Lepisosteus oculatus: one gene and its partner. The protein of the gene in region 1 binds, or shares a complex with, the protein of each later gene. Links are inferred from orthologs where the notes say so. Each region holds a gene or a part of one and is shown in the gene's direction. Other genes may lie near its edges.

Region 1 (7,454 bases):
AGAACTTAGACTTTTGCATTTTTATTGTGTATTGGTACAGTATAAATTAAAACAGAAATGCTATCTGGAGTATAGTACATTTTCAGTAACCATGAAAGCATTAAAACTGTTATTTGTATTTAATATGCAGGAAAATACAAACTGGTAGAATATTCTTGTACAGTCAAACAACAGGTTTTATATGTCTTAAGATATCTGAAACCAAACTTCATGCTTCTTGAATAATGTCTGCATAATAAATTGGATGATAACATCATCCTTCATACTTAAAAAAACTAATGGTAAACAAACATGACATAAATCAATACCAATTGTACTGACAACGGTTTGTTTCCTGGGACAACATTTAAAATAAAGTCAGAAAATTTTGTTCTAATCAAGATTTTATTCTCTGTCTAGAGTCTTAGGTTTAAACGCATTAAAGAAATTTATAGAATATAGAACAAAATACCAGCGAAAATTAGCCTTCAGTTATATAGCCTCACATCACCTACAGAGCCTTTCATTGTAACTATGAAAGACTTCAGTGAAACCTTATTGCTTGAAACCCAAATTTATGGGTTTTACTTCTTCTTTTAACTTTCCAGTGTAGCTCTACTTGTTGTATAGCAGGACCAGATTCTTGCTTGGCACTGGACTCTGAACAAACTATATTTTTCCCCCCTTGTAAAAGGGTACAGGTACAGTAAGTGAAAATGCAATGTGGTAGAACTGTAAGTATTTTCTGATTATAGACCCATGCCTTCGTGTTCTCGGTAGAAAAGTTACCTGTATTTAATAAAAATGCACACTTATTAAGAGATAATACTATAGCTTACAATCCTTTTAAGATGCCTCAGTACAGTTAGACTTCATTACACATTGGCAACTGTCAAATGCAGGAAGACGAAAGTGAGTGACAGAGGTATTGTTGCAAAACTCCACCACCCACTGGGGGACTGGGGCTTCCCTCTGAATGAGACGCCTTTAGGGATCATGTAACCTGAACCCCATTCATTGCTCTGTCATTTTAGCTTGACCACCTCTGCACGAACATATTAACCTCCTCTTGTGATTTCATAAAAAAAATCTAATTTAGCAAGCAATTAAGGGGTCACATGTAGGATAAAGAGCTGGATAATCTGGGATTACACGCAGGAAGCTTTGTTTCCAAGGCAACCTCTAGCAGAGTGGAGTGTTAATGCCCAGGTCAGTCTGTTAACGAAACAGGAAGAGTCATAGATTCCAAAACTTGCACTTGTATGGCCTGAATGCAAAAAAAACGATGCAGAGCTCTCATCACCAGGAATGCTTAATGATGCTCTTAATTTTAGGCTTCGTTTTCTTTGTACTGTACATCTACTAAAATTTATCTCCATAAAACTAGAAACTACATTAGATGTATAACACAGACACGTGCTATTGTTATTTCTAAGGGGGATCACAAAAAAAAAACAACAAAATGATTCACAGGCAAAAACAGCCCAGTATAATTTGCTTTAATACATACAGCCTAAAATCCGATTAAAAGTAATTTAATATTGTACTCATGGGCATGAGCATATCACCTATTAATAATAAGCTTTCTTACTTCTGATAATCTGAATCTGAATCCGAACTTTGTATCCATATTTCCATATTTTGTGCCATGAAAGAGAACACATGCTCAATAATAATATCACTTTATTAACCCTTTACAATGTCTTGGATTAGGAATTATCTTTGCACATTCCCCAGCTTGCTCTCCAAGAGACACACAGACAGGGAGAGAGCCTGGGGTCAGAGCACAGGGTCTGCCATTGTACAGCACCCCTGGGGTTAAGGGCTGTGCTCAGGAGCCCAGTGGAGTAGGATTCCTCTGCCAGCTGCAGGATTTGAACCTGCAACCTTCTAGCCACAGGTGCAGATCCTTAGCCACAGAGCCACTGCTCCACCCCAATCCTGAAAGACGTTGCACTTCTCAAGGAAAAAGAACTACAATTATGAAACCATGAAAAGTACAGTAGTTTTTTATGCTATTAAGAACTTTGAAGGGTAGTATCTCAAAAGAAATTGTCAATTTAAATACATATCTATTTGTTCCTGTCATTCAAGGTGTATACCAGCTTTTTTGCATTATAATAATATAATTATAATTTTGCACTATAATTTACTTAGAGACGTTAATTAGTATAATGAAATACTTTCTGTAAAGTACTAATATTACCAATTGACTTTTATATTTAAATTATTCAATATTTCAATTTATACTGGGGCAGGAGACCTGAAAGGAAAACCTTAATACATACAGTACGACACTATACACATAACACTCACAGTTGCTGATAGTGGTGTTGATGGACCAGTACAGTTTCTGTAGAGCAGAATGTCTACATTAATGACCCAATATGCTGTGCTGTAGGAGGCACCACTCGTATGAAGAGAATTTAAACCAAGTTCCTTACTAACTGCAAGAGATCCTATCTCATGGCTTATAAAATGAGTCCAACTCTGCACTTACACAAACTGGCCTCCCTCAATAACCCTCTCATTTCAATCAGTTCTTGCTTTTCAATCTAACGTGCTGAGCAGTGGGGCTCTTGTCTGTCACCTAGGTGGGTGCTGCTCTTGCGTGATATGTAAAGTGGGTGCCTTCTTTTGTGTAAACCAGATTAGGACCCTTTAGCACTATACAAATGCAAGCAAATTAATTGTATTATTATACCGCAGTATATGAACTACAGATTTTAGATGATCTTTATTGAAAAAAATTAAGTACATCAAAGTCCATCAACTACAAAACATGTATAGGGAACTGCTGCATTCAAAACAAAATTAATACCCTGAGAAACTTTGAACAAGAAAAAAAACAATAATCGACAAGGGAGATAATAAACATGGTGAATTGATCTACTACAAATCCCTCAAAAGTCAAAAACTGTCATTCACAACAATCCTGTTAGGCATAACATCAAAACTCTATTAAAGTTAAATTTTTCAGTGTTTAAAATACTTTCTTTCTTTTTGCAAAATCTCCTGTTTCCTCTTTTCCAGTCTGCATACAAAAGCAGTTAACTTTTTACAGAAAGTGAGTAAAATATTAATTTTGAGATTCCTCCTTAAAATTACCACAATACAAAAAAAGTATCTAATTGTTTTAGAAGTCTATTAATTTAGTTGTGTCTAAATGTGGAATTTGCCAATCAGTTATTGTTCAATTAATAATAGCAGAGGTCAATACAATAAAATGCCTCAATAATCACTGCCGTGTACAACATAGATCAATGGTGCACAAAACAAGATGCCACTTGCTTTTCCTGTATACATACTGCACGTTGGAGTACTTAAAAACAATGTTATTTACTGGTATTGTTAAAAGAGAATTAGCAGAGAAATGCATTTGAAAAGTATATGTGTTTTAAACTCAAAATCCAAATCTGCTTGGGTCTGCCAGATGTGGTGCATGCTTCAAGTGAATTGGAGTACAACAGGCTGGAATACCACATTCTATCTCTTCTGGATGCAGACAGTAGGTGTGTATGACACAAGAGGGAGAGTTGTTTTTACTTGATTTTATTACTTTAAATAAATGAACTTGACAATGTTGGGCTAAGAGATGTAGAATATACACTACTGTATGTCCTAGCTGCTCTCCTGTCTTTTTATCTGAATGTATTTTCCTGCCCATATACTGACTTGATGACTTCATGTTTGCAAAAGTAATGATTAATATAAAATACAGGACTAACTCTATTCTTCTGTCAGGAAGATTTAAAACTTCATATACAATATAAAACGGTTCAACTAGCCTGGCTTTCTTGATGATAGCATCCATTCTCTACTAGCTGCATGTCTTTCTGCTTATTATTGTATGTACAATAATGAGCATACAGTAGCTCAGCCCTGCAAGGACTCAATTAAGGCTGTTCGAAGGCAACTCAGTACAATCCCCACCACACACAGCACCTTATGTTTTTGGACTATAGCTATGGCTGCAACTGTTTAGGACAGATGTGATAAAGTTAGGTATTAGTCAAACCTTAAATACAGAGGCAATGGCTGAGATTTGGGGTAAAGTTGTAGTTTTTTGTCATCACACAGTTTTATGTCATCCTTATTTGCCATTAGGAATTTATAGATTTATTACCAAATGTAACCAAATAAGCAATCATAAACCTTTTTTATGTCAGTTTATCTAAAAACGTGTATTGTTATTCAAACTTGCTATATAATTCTTACGAGATGGATCAATCAAGAAGTTACCATACAAACAACAAGCAACACATCTTTAGATTCCAAATTATTAACTGAGCTTTTTATGGTGTGGCAATAGTAAAATAATATATACAGTACACGACTCAACTGAACTCTCCCCCTACCTACCACAGCGCACCAAACCCCGACTAGTGTGTACGTCACCATCGAGCTATAGTCCAATGAGAAAGCGCCCTGTTGGCTGTGCTGGAATTCCCGACATCCCCTACAGTCTGCGCTACGTCAGCAGTGGGACTGAAAGATGGCGGTGTCCATAGAAAAGTGCTTGATTGTAGCAACTAGGTTATTAATATTAACTTTAATATTTCACCTGGTTTCTGCGGACGTTGTTCAGAGCTCCCAGGACTCGCCACATCGCCGGTTTGAATACAAATACAGTTTCAAAGGACCTCATCTTGCGCAGAGCGACGGTACTATTCCTTTTTGGGTGCACACTGGAAGTAAGTTTTTTTGCAGTATTCATACTACACGAGCAATAGCTTTTCTGTATTAATATATAGGCAGAATATAGTCAGAATAATAAACACAATTTTCCCGTCATAAAGATTGCAGGTATACAAATAACACAGCTTGTTGGCTTTTTGTTTGCGCACTGTGCAATCTGCTGTCATTGGAAAAATCCGTGCTGAAACGTATTGGAAATCATTAAATGCAATTTGTGTTCAATTTCCTCTGCATGCAGTACATGTGCATTTCTCTTGATGATGAAATCTGAAACCGTAATGGCGATCATAATATACATAAACTTGAAAAAGGCTACATTGCCAGCCGAGACGTTGTGTGCTTTGCTCTTTCAACTTCTCAGTGTAGAATTAATCACTACTTGTGTTTCTTTGCATGGTAATGGTATTATTGTTACCGTGAATTAGCGCTGCAGTTATTTTTTCTCGATTTGCATGAGTTACAGTAGTGCTTAACGATAAACTATTTGTTTTGTTCAGCTCTGTTTGGATTGGGACTCTCCAGAACTTCACTTAGATAAAAGTAACTCTATTAAAATATATGGCAGAAAACATTGCCAATTTTTCTATGTAAACTTACTTCTGTAATGGAGTGTCTGAGGTCTTTTCTTAGATTAACCTGAGATATTAGGATTTATCTGCAGCCACTCCAGTAGAAAGTACTTTATTTCAGTTCGCAGCTGTCTACAACATTAAGGCTGGTATGGCTTTCTGCCTAAAACATTTGGGGGAAAAGCTGTTTTGTGCTGTGCAGCAGCACAGAGCTCTGGTGAAGAGAAGGAAACCAGTCAGTTTTAAAACCAAAATTAAAAAAAATTAGTCTGTATGCAAGAGGTATGACTTCAGCACATTTATCCTTTACATTGTTTCTTTTAGTTCAGGTGGGTAGCTGCGTCAGCATGCGTAGGCTGCAAAGGAACAAGTAATAGGTTTATTCCATGCTGAAAAAAAGAAGAAAGAGAACACAACGTTTCGGCCGTGGAGCACCTGAAGAAGGCTCCACGGCCGAAACGTTGTGTTCTCTTTCTTCTTTTTTTCAGCATGGAATAAACCTATTAATTGTTTCTTTTAGTTGAGTCAGTGCTCTTGCATTTCTGTTATGTTTACATTTTTATTCAATATCCATGTTCATTACTTTAAAGTATTGTGTGGCTGCACAGTGTCAAAGTCCATGTAGGTTCACTTTATCTGCTCTGTGACAAGTATTTCTTCCTCAGGTAAAATATCATGGTGCTTGGGTGAAGTGACAGCCTGAAATGATCTTTTTCATACTTTCTTTGCCAAACAAGGATTTTTACTACCTTTAATTTCTAAATAATAAAACTCTTATTTCTAATATCCTGTAGTAGAGTCGATTTTGTTTGTCTGTAGCACAAACTGAAGGTCATACACAATTTACTGAAGAAAAACAGTCCATTAAAATACTTAAATATAAAATTGTACTTATTTGTTACAAATCTTTTTATTTTATATAGCACCTTTAAAGGTGGCTTCTCAAAGTGCTTTACAGAATGACAACAATAAAAAATCCACAAGATATGCACAATGAAAATACACAATGAGACAGTAAGTGTGGGTACTGAATACAGTAGGAGCAGAGGAGTAAATAACAGAGCTAGTTAATTAAAGGTGGGTAGCTGCATCAGCATGTGTAGGCTGCAAAGGAACAAGTAATAGGCCTATTCTATGCTGAAAAGACTAGAAAGAAAACACAACATTTCACCTGAAGAAGGCTCCGAGGCCGAAACATTGTGTTTGCTTTCTTCTCTTTTCAGCATGGAATAAACCTACTGCTAGTTGAGTAAAGGCCTTTCTCAAGAAGAAGGTTTGAGTCTAGATTTGAAGGAGTTTAGGGAAGGTGTCTCTCTGATATCCTTAGTGAAAGAGTTCCAGAGCTTTGGGGCATAACAGGAGAAGGCCCTGTCACCCATAGAGTGTAGACGGGTTTGGGGGACAGCTACTGTAGCATTTTGAAGTTGACACGAAACCTGACTGGAAGCCAGTGCAAGGACTCCAGGATAGGAGTAATATGATCACTAGCACTAGACCTATTCAGGATTCTGGCTTCTGAATTTTGGACGTACTTGAGTTTGTTCAATGTGGATTTAAAAACCAAAGCAAGTGGAGCATTACAGTAATCAATTCCGTAGAAGACAAATGTATTGATAAGCTTTTCAGCAACAGTTAGCAAATACATAGGACATAGTCTGGTGATATTTCTGAGGTGAAAGAATGGTGTTTTGACAATATGTTGCCCATTTAGGTCAAATATCAAGCCCAAATCAAATATCACACCCATGTTTTTCAATTTAGACTGATGTTCAAGTACAGTACCCTCCACAGATAGGGTTACAGCACTAACTTTACAAAGTTGATGGGGATGCCAAAAAGCATGACTTCAGTCTGGTCACAGTTTAGATGAAGGACATTTTGAGTCATCCATATTTTTATGCAAAATATACAGTTAGAATAGAAACAGCCATATCAGTGTCGGGTCTGGTATAGATGTAGATTTGGGTATCTTCACCATAGAAGTGAGAGTTGATCTTAAAAGCAACCAAGTGGAAGCATGTAAATATTGAAAAGTAGAGAGCCTAGCATCGAGCCCTGAGGAACACCACACTTAACGAGTAAGATTTCAGACCTACATATGCTAAGAGAGACAAAGTGACAGTGAGCTAAGACTTGAACTATTTAAGAACAGTGTCAGAAACTCCACACAGTCTCAGGATGAGAAAGTAAGATATCATGGTTCTCAGT
Region 2 (7,670 bases), on another chromosome or scaffold:
AAACAGCAAGAACCTTGGTTTTAGCTACTGAAATGTAGATGCTTCCCATTAATAAAACTTTATGAGCACCAGAACCTACAGTATTAATATATATATATATGCTACCAACTTATTAAACACTAAATAAGTTACAGTATATTTAAAAAGCCATATTTAAAGCAGATGTATTTGTATCATGCTTGAATTTATCACACAAAACCAAAGATCTTTCACGGAGAGGCTACAGAAAACAGATATTTTACCTGGTATGATAGAAAACCTGGTACAGTATGTTGTCTAAGCTCTTAAAAATATTTTTAAATTGAAATTTCTCATTGTTTTTTTTTTTTACATAAAAAGATCAACTTCTCCCTCTCTTAAAAGTTCAGGTGACCGTCCTTGTGTTACATAATAACTTAACGACCAGAAACAACACTGTCAAGCAGGTGGATAAAAGTCACCTCAGATTTATTTACTTTACACACATGTATGCAGGCTGCATTCTGCATGTTTGAGACAACTCTGTAGGGTGGTTCTTGTGGTTCACAATTACAGCATGTACAGTAAGCAGGAAGACAGCCTTATTGGAAGGAATTTCTCCTCAAGTTCTATTTTCGAGTTACATGTGGAAAAACTGGCTTCCTCATGTGACTTACCAGACAGCTGTATAAAACTGCTATCTAGTCAAGAGACTAACAAACCTGTAATCTATATCTGTAAACCTACTGTGCATCACTTAATAATATTGTGTAAATCCTGTTTGGCACATTGTATAACACAAAATTTCCATGTAAATGTCCATGTACTCATGACATATTCCTTGAATGGTAATCTATAGAAAGCTCTTTTAGTTTTAAAGTCTAAGGTGTTTTTGAATTTTTAATGTTTGTTAAAAGGAAATCTGACAGGACTTATAAACAAGGTTGAGGGAACACATTCATTCAAAAAAAAACATTAAAAATGCAAGTCCAGGGCGACAGAATGAAACACTCTGAACACAAAAACGATTACTTTGTAAGTAAATTTCCTACTTACCACAAATTAAGCAAAACCACTAGATCTAGAAATAGCACAGAACTGCGTTGTAACATAAAAATCAGAATGGCAATAATCCATTGAATCTAAAATTTGAAGATGAAAAGGAGTTCTTATCAGTTAGGTATTAGTATCATGCAGCAATGTAAACTTCTGTACGTAATGTGTAAACTCTAAGCTGTGTTTTAATTCAATCTATCACTCAATATAAATTCGAATTCTTCACTTTTAGCACTCGCACCACAGTGCTTGCACAACTCTGCAAGATGAACGTGGCTACTTCCCTAACTTTGGTCAGTGAATCGAGTCACACGTTTTGCATTTGAAGTTACTGGAACAAATGACTGACTTTGTAAGTACAAAGTTCAGCCCTGACTGTAAAGGCGGAACCACTACTGTATTCTCTTGCCTGTGTATTTTTTTTTGCGGTTGTTTTTTTATAATTGAGAGAGCGACAAATTCCTCCTAAACACTCACCATCTTCGTGTATTCGAGCCGAAATGAGTTGCTCTACCAGACCGGGTATCTTGTCCCACTGGCATTCGCCGCGACACCTCTCTATCTCAGCCTCCAAACGGTACTGAGAGAACGATATCCTAGCTGCCATGCTCCTTGATAACGATAACCGTAATCCACAGTCACTGAGCCCGCTGGTGACTGACAGGCAATCAAAAAGTAAACTTTCTCACTGAGCATGTGCGACTGGAAAGTGACTTGTGTTTAAGTACTATACAGTGAGTGGGATTTACAATCTTCCTGGATGTAACGCAGCTACAGTGAAGATTTAGAATAACGACATAATTTGCTGTTGTTACAACATCATCAGCTTTCTTTCCTGTTGATGTGATTTAAAAAAAAATACAAAAACAAACCAAATAATTACATTGTGTTTGTTGTGTATGTTTGTAAGGAACATTCGTCATCGTAGACTTGCTTATGTTTGTTGTTTTTTTTTTGCTTTTAAGTGTAATTATATATATATATCTTATTTTTCATAACATTATGCGTTACCTTAAGAAAAAAACTCTAAGATCTACAGTACAATAACCTTTCCTCTTCCCATACTGCTCTGCTTTTTGTTAGGGAGTGTTGAAACAAACTGGGCCTCTGTTTACACAGTTGATTAATAACAACCTTTAAACAACAAAGCTGATAATGATCACCTACTGCTCCGTATTCAAAAACACTAGTTTCTGGTAGATCTGCCGAAACACTGACTTCCACATACAGCTTTAAATGGAGCACATTACAATGAAATGCTTGAATGTCAAATCACCTAATATTTCATCGTGAAAATGCAATAAACCCAGCGTCTGACGTTATTGTCTAAACAGTAATTGAGCCTTTTGAGGTTGTTAAATTTTAAGTGCTCCGAAACTGAAAATAATGTGCTTCTAAATTACGCAATAGTGCCTCCTCGTGGATACAACGAACTTTGACTATGGTAAAGATTATTTTTTTAGCCCCGTAAATATAAACTGGCGGGGTGATAGACGCAATTATTGCTTTCATTGTCAAACAGATTTTTTGCATTTCTTTGCCACTTTGTGTTTCCTACAACAGTTTCCTCTATGAACTGGCTACATTACTCTGCTCTCCTCCCCACTGATAGCTGATGTGTGGTGAGTGTACTGGTGCACTATGGCTGCTGTCGCATCATCCAGGTGAAGCTGCACATTGGTGGTGGTGGAGGGGAGTCCCCATTACCTGTAAAGCGCTTTGAGTAGAGTGTCCAAAGCGCTATATAAGTGTAAGCAATTATTATTATTATTATTATTATTATTACAACAATAATAGTATTGTCGTGCTTAAAATTGTATTCTTCTTAAACAATCACGCAAAAAAACAGTATATGTTGTGCTTTATAATACATTTACATCATTATGTAAACCCCATAATGACTAACAAGGTGCATGTTAGCGATCTGAAAAAAAAAACAGCCCGCCAGCCGTTGTTTTAACAGAGATATTGATATAAATAACGGTAACATTAGTTTAAGATAACAATAGCTGTGTTGTCTTACAAGTAGAAACTACAGCTGTTGTTTTGGTTATATCGTTTTACTGATGTCTGATACTGTGGTAAATAAACGAGTATTTTAACCCCGCCGTTACAAACTAAAAGACGACACCTTGTACTACTGTTTTGAGTTATTGAATGTGTGGGGATTACGTCACCGAAAGCTCATTCGGCGTCATTTAGCTCTTACATGAACTGAAAGTTCTCCTTTCGTTTTGAATGTTTAAGAGAATTAAAAAAGGAATCTGGATTCGCGAACTAGGAAAGTAAGCATGCGATACAGTGTTTAGATGTTGGTTTCATGTTCAATCTTATATGGGCCGAGCTAAACATCTCTGTACAAAATTCATAATAATTCCTTACATTCGTGTTGCATTATCACCCCCAAATTATTCTAAATCTAAGATCTGCTTCATCCACCACCTTAGTTTGGCATCCAGTGCACCGCAGGTTAGAGACAAGTGAGATACCGCTTCTAGACCGAAATAAGGAGGAGATCGTGCAAACCCAGAGTGAAATACAGGCAGGACAATAACTAACATCCTTATTCTTACGAACAGTGCTATGGGGTGAACAGTTACTCAGGATCGTGTTTGAACATCTGGATTCAGTCATTTTATGGCTGGAAGGCTGCCGCTTCAAATCCCACAGCCGGCAGAGAAATCCTACTGCGTGTTGCCCCTGAGCAAAGCCCTTAACCCCGACTGCACCAGGGGGCGCTGTGCAATGTGTCTACGTGTCTCATGGAGAGCAACCTGGGGTATGCGAAAAGACGAATTCCTAATGCAAGAAATTGTATAGGGCTAATAAAGTGATGTTAAGTTATGAGACACTGGATTAGAAACGGAAGTCTGGGGGGATGTGCCACCTTCTATCAAATAGACCTTGCTGTCTACCAACACAGCTTCCAGCACCAACTCGCTTTTTTCTTCTGTCCTCCCAATCCAATACTGATTAGTAGACCCAGCCATCCTGAGTTTGACGAATTTAAGGTAATGGCCTGTAGGTCTGCTGATGCATAGTGTACGATTTCTAAAGTACTAAACTTTACAGTTACTGGACGTTTAAAATATTTTAAGTAATCAGACTTTTTCTGGATAGATGGGGATTTTTCTCTTGCTCTAGAAGCATTTAAATACATATATTTAAAATAAGGTAATGTATGTTCTTGAGCATGTCTGCTATAGGAAGCGAAGAAGCAATCACTTGGTTTACGTTTCAAAGAATCCTTGACATTTTTCAATCAGCCTTTACTCATTCACAAAACCAGAATTTCACTAACATGTACAAACGTCTTGTCACACGATACAGTAGCCTTAATACCGAAAATGTGTCGTCAGAGAAACGGATCAATTCAAATCTAGCAGACTACATAATTCAAGAGCTGTGTATACCTTCGTGCTTAGTTCTTGGTGCTTTTCTCCAACCTAATAATACTGCCGAGTCATAAAGGTTAGACTACACTTTCAAATAAACCATAACCGTAACACCTTATCTCTATAATCCAGGAAGTGTTCTGCTTTTACTAGAGGTACGTGGAAAAACCTCAGGAGGAGGCGGAATCGTACTTTTTGACAATTTTAGCCAATCACAGAGAGACGTCGTGTCCTTAGGTGAAAGGTCACTACGGCAAAGCATAAGGACCAAAATACAGTGGAAAAAATTGCATAGACGAAAGTATCGCTCCAAGCGAGTCAGGGTATTTGTACAGGAAAGGAAAGAAAACAAAGGAAATTGGTGAGTGTGGAAGTGATTTGATTGGGCCATAAAGGTGTGTAAAATAGGCTTAATAAGAATATACATTTTTTATTGAACTAATTTCAGACTGACCTGCACCAACTCGTGTCGAATTGCAGCTGCTCTGCTGGGATCCTCTCGATTACACTGTTCAATTAAACACTGTTTATGATTAGTTTACAGCTAAACTAACACTAAATAGTAAATCGACAAAATTAAAGACATTTAGGCTGTCTTAAGTTTATACCTGTGTGGGATCATTAGAACACGCTTTTTATTAAGTAATCTAGGATGTCCGACTGTCTATAGCTAATGTATGATCGGTGTTATTAGCATCAACAGCGGTAATTTGTTACCGTTATAACATATCATTTGAGATAAAGAAGACCTATGTAATGAGGGGGTGTGAAGCACTCGAAAATAACAAAAAAATATGTATCTTGTTTTTGCTGAATTGCGTATTGATCAACTAAGAAATGGCATTCGCCAGCGTTCAAATTAATGTTGTCTGATCATACATCGAAAATACACACCTTTTAATAGCCACTTGTTTGACTATATAAACTCATTTTGCTTTTTCTGTATTAGCTTATATTTCTAGGTGCAGAAGGTACGATAGTAATAACGTCGTATGTTTCTGATAATCCGTTACGCACGTACATCAGTTTACAAATATGTACAAAGTATCTATTGTCAACGTAGGCGTGTTTAGTTCATAAACGAGAAGGTTTTAGAAACTGCAATTCGATCTGTACAGCAGATACAATTATTTTTTCACATGTACAATGAATACCAAGATCTGCCCTGAGGTGGGGACTAACTACCTACTAGTTATGGAAAGATGTAAGAGAATGGTTTTCAGAACCAGAAGCCTGAGACATTTGCAGTTATGCTACAGGTTGATATTTCTTTAGAAGAGCTTTAGTTAATAGATAATTGGATTCGGCAGACTGTTCTGCTGATGAAATGAGGTCATGACTAAAGAAATCACCTAAATGGGATTTTAACCAAGACAAAAAGGTTGCAACAGTATCTGTCTTCCAAGAGACTTTAACTGCAGATGAATTCATGTGATATTCTTATTCCCTCAGGAGAAAAAACACTATTTATGTCTGAAGAACTGACTTTTTTATTCCAACAGTATCCACGCTAGGCGGGATATCTCCAATGACAGTAAGGATATGTCACAATGCTTTAGAATAATGTACTTTCTTTACCAGATTAGGCTAAGTGTCGTTAGTGTTTTTATTTACAGTAGGTTCTGGATTTAAATCTCAGGTGGGTCACTGTGGGTGGCCTCCTGTGAAAGGTTCCTCTATAGATTGGTACAGTTGTAAGTCCCTTTGGATAAAAGTGTCAAAAATGTGACTAATAAATGGCACAATTAAAAATATATTTCCCTAAAATGGTTTTGTACAAATGTTTGGCTCTGTCTTTGCAAGCTTCAAGATGGTCCTCATGTGTCATGGGTTGATAATTGACCTTTTATGTTCATACACCTCTTAAATTTCTTCCAAAATATTTTATTGCTCATTAAAATCTGAACATCTGATGAAAATACAGTGTTGTCTTTAAAATGTAATGGTAGAGAAGTCTTCAAAAGCATTTCTGAAACGTTTGCAATCTTAAATACTATGAACAACGCAGAGTTTAAAAATGGAGTCAGTTGACAGTGGATCTTTACCCACTATTTCCACAGGAATTGTCTTCAACACAGGCCACCTGTAGAGTGCGTTGAGTTCAGCATCTGAGGAGTGCGTCGGTGTCCTGCACAGTTGGTTGGTGTGAGAATGCTGTGGAGAGGCAGAGCCGGCTGGAGCAGCATGTTCAGCTCAGCGCTATTGCTCAGCTGCTTGTTGTCAGCCAGAGCACAAGATCACGGGCAACCTGATGTAGAGGTTGCTGAGGGGCACCGGCCCAACCTCAGACTTGACAAAAATATTGTCCAGGATAAAGAGTAAGTACAGAATTATTCTGTTGGCTTCCCCAACTTTGATGAATTAGCAAATCATAGATTCTTATTAAAAAGCTAAATACTTGTGTTTTTTTCAATTTGCATTTGATATTTCCCCAATGTTACCATTTTTGGGCTTCAGACTGTGTACCATCAAGACCTCCAAGGATTATAAATGTATAAGTCTGACACATTCTATCACTACATCAGTCATCATACAATGTGAGAAGCTTTACATGAAAGGTTCAGGTAAAGGTGGCAAAGCTTTTACATAAATTCACTCAATTTGGGATGTGCTCTGGAGTCTACTGTAAATGTTTTTAGTTGAGGACCTGTACATTAATGATACTAATGCAAGGAATTTCAGGCATCTCTCTTCTATGTGTCAAAAATTACTTTCTACCAAGTACATGTACAATGCCTCGTTGTAAAATTTTATGATTGAAAAATAAAAGTCAAGCACAGCTGTTCAGGTTCAGTCAAATAAAACTGGGCAAGGATACGATTTTTGTTTTCCAAAACTATTTTCCGAACCAAACTGTTTTGTCTTTTTTCTGCAGCCACATTATGGAACATCTAGAAGGGGTGATTGAGAAGCCAGAGTCGGACATGACTCCTCAAGAGCTGCAGCTCCACTACTTCAAAATGCACGACTATGATGGGAACAACCTGCTGGATGGATTAGAGCTTGCAACTGCCATCACTCACGTTCACAAAGAGGTTGGCCAAATCTCATGGCGCTCTGCTAGTCAAAGATTAATTTAGCAGCTTAGCATCAAACCCAACAATCCTGAGAGGCTTTTCATCCTGCGATTTTGCGAAACATCTTTTGAAATTAGATTGCTTTAGGCTTAAACTTATTTTTGCATTGTAATTACCAATGGGCCTTATGTAGTATTTTACATACTGTATATAATTTTGTTTTCCAGGAAAGAGGAGAAACCAG

Evidence for each region. Proteins that work in one complex are often made in the same cells at the same time.
Region 2: the proteins of lman1 (region 1) and mcfd2 are in contact, whole or in part, in a cryo-EM structure (PDB 8JP5), measured with the Homo sapiens proteins. The link is inferred for Lepisosteus oculatus from reciprocal best matches to the Homo sapiens genes LMAN1 and MCFD2. Residues at the interface, in NP_005561.1 of Homo sapiens: His43, Arg44, Arg45, Phe46, Tyr48, Lys49, Ser51, Phe52, Lys53, Pro55, His56, Gln59, Ser60, Asp61, Val64, Pro65, Phe66, Trp67, Lys96, Phe265, Glu273, Lys279, Glu280, Ile281, Glu285, Lys286, Tyr289, Glu292, Phe293, Phe296; in NP_001164977.1 of Homo sapiens: Val59, Ile60, Asn61, Lys62, Gln70, Glu71, Leu74, His75, Phe77, Lys78, Tyr82, Asp83, Asn86, Asp89, Gly90, Leu91, Glu92, Thr95, Thr98, His99, Val100, Leu111, Glu114, Leu117, Ile118, Ile121, Asp122, Leu125, Asp129, Lys130.

Annotation. Positions count from the first base shown.
Region 1 is NC_090698.1:20,227,736-20,235,189, forward strand, and holds the start of lman1 (protein ERGIC-53), read left to right. Parts: upstream 1-4,438; 5' UTR 4,439-4,474; coding exon 4,475-4,673; intron 4,674-7,454. UniProt on the Homo sapiens protein: Mannose-specific lectin. May recognize sugar residues of glycoproteins, glycolipids, or glycosylphosphatidyl inositol anchors and may be involved in the sorting or recycling of proteins, lipids, or both.
Region 2 is NC_090712.1:13,243,180-13,250,849, forward strand, and holds the start of mcfd2 (multiple coagulation factor deficiency protein 2), read left to right. Parts: upstream 1-4,661; 5' UTR 4,662-4,770; exon of another isoform or gene 4,771-4,804; intron 4,805-6,469; 5' UTR 6,470-6,560; coding exon 6,561-6,727; intron 6,728-7,284; coding exon 7,285-7,444; intron 7,445-7,653; coding exon 7,654-7,670. UniProt on the Homo sapiens protein: The MCFD2-LMAN1 complex forms a specific cargo receptor for the ER-to-Golgi transport of selected proteins. Plays a role in the secretion of coagulation factors.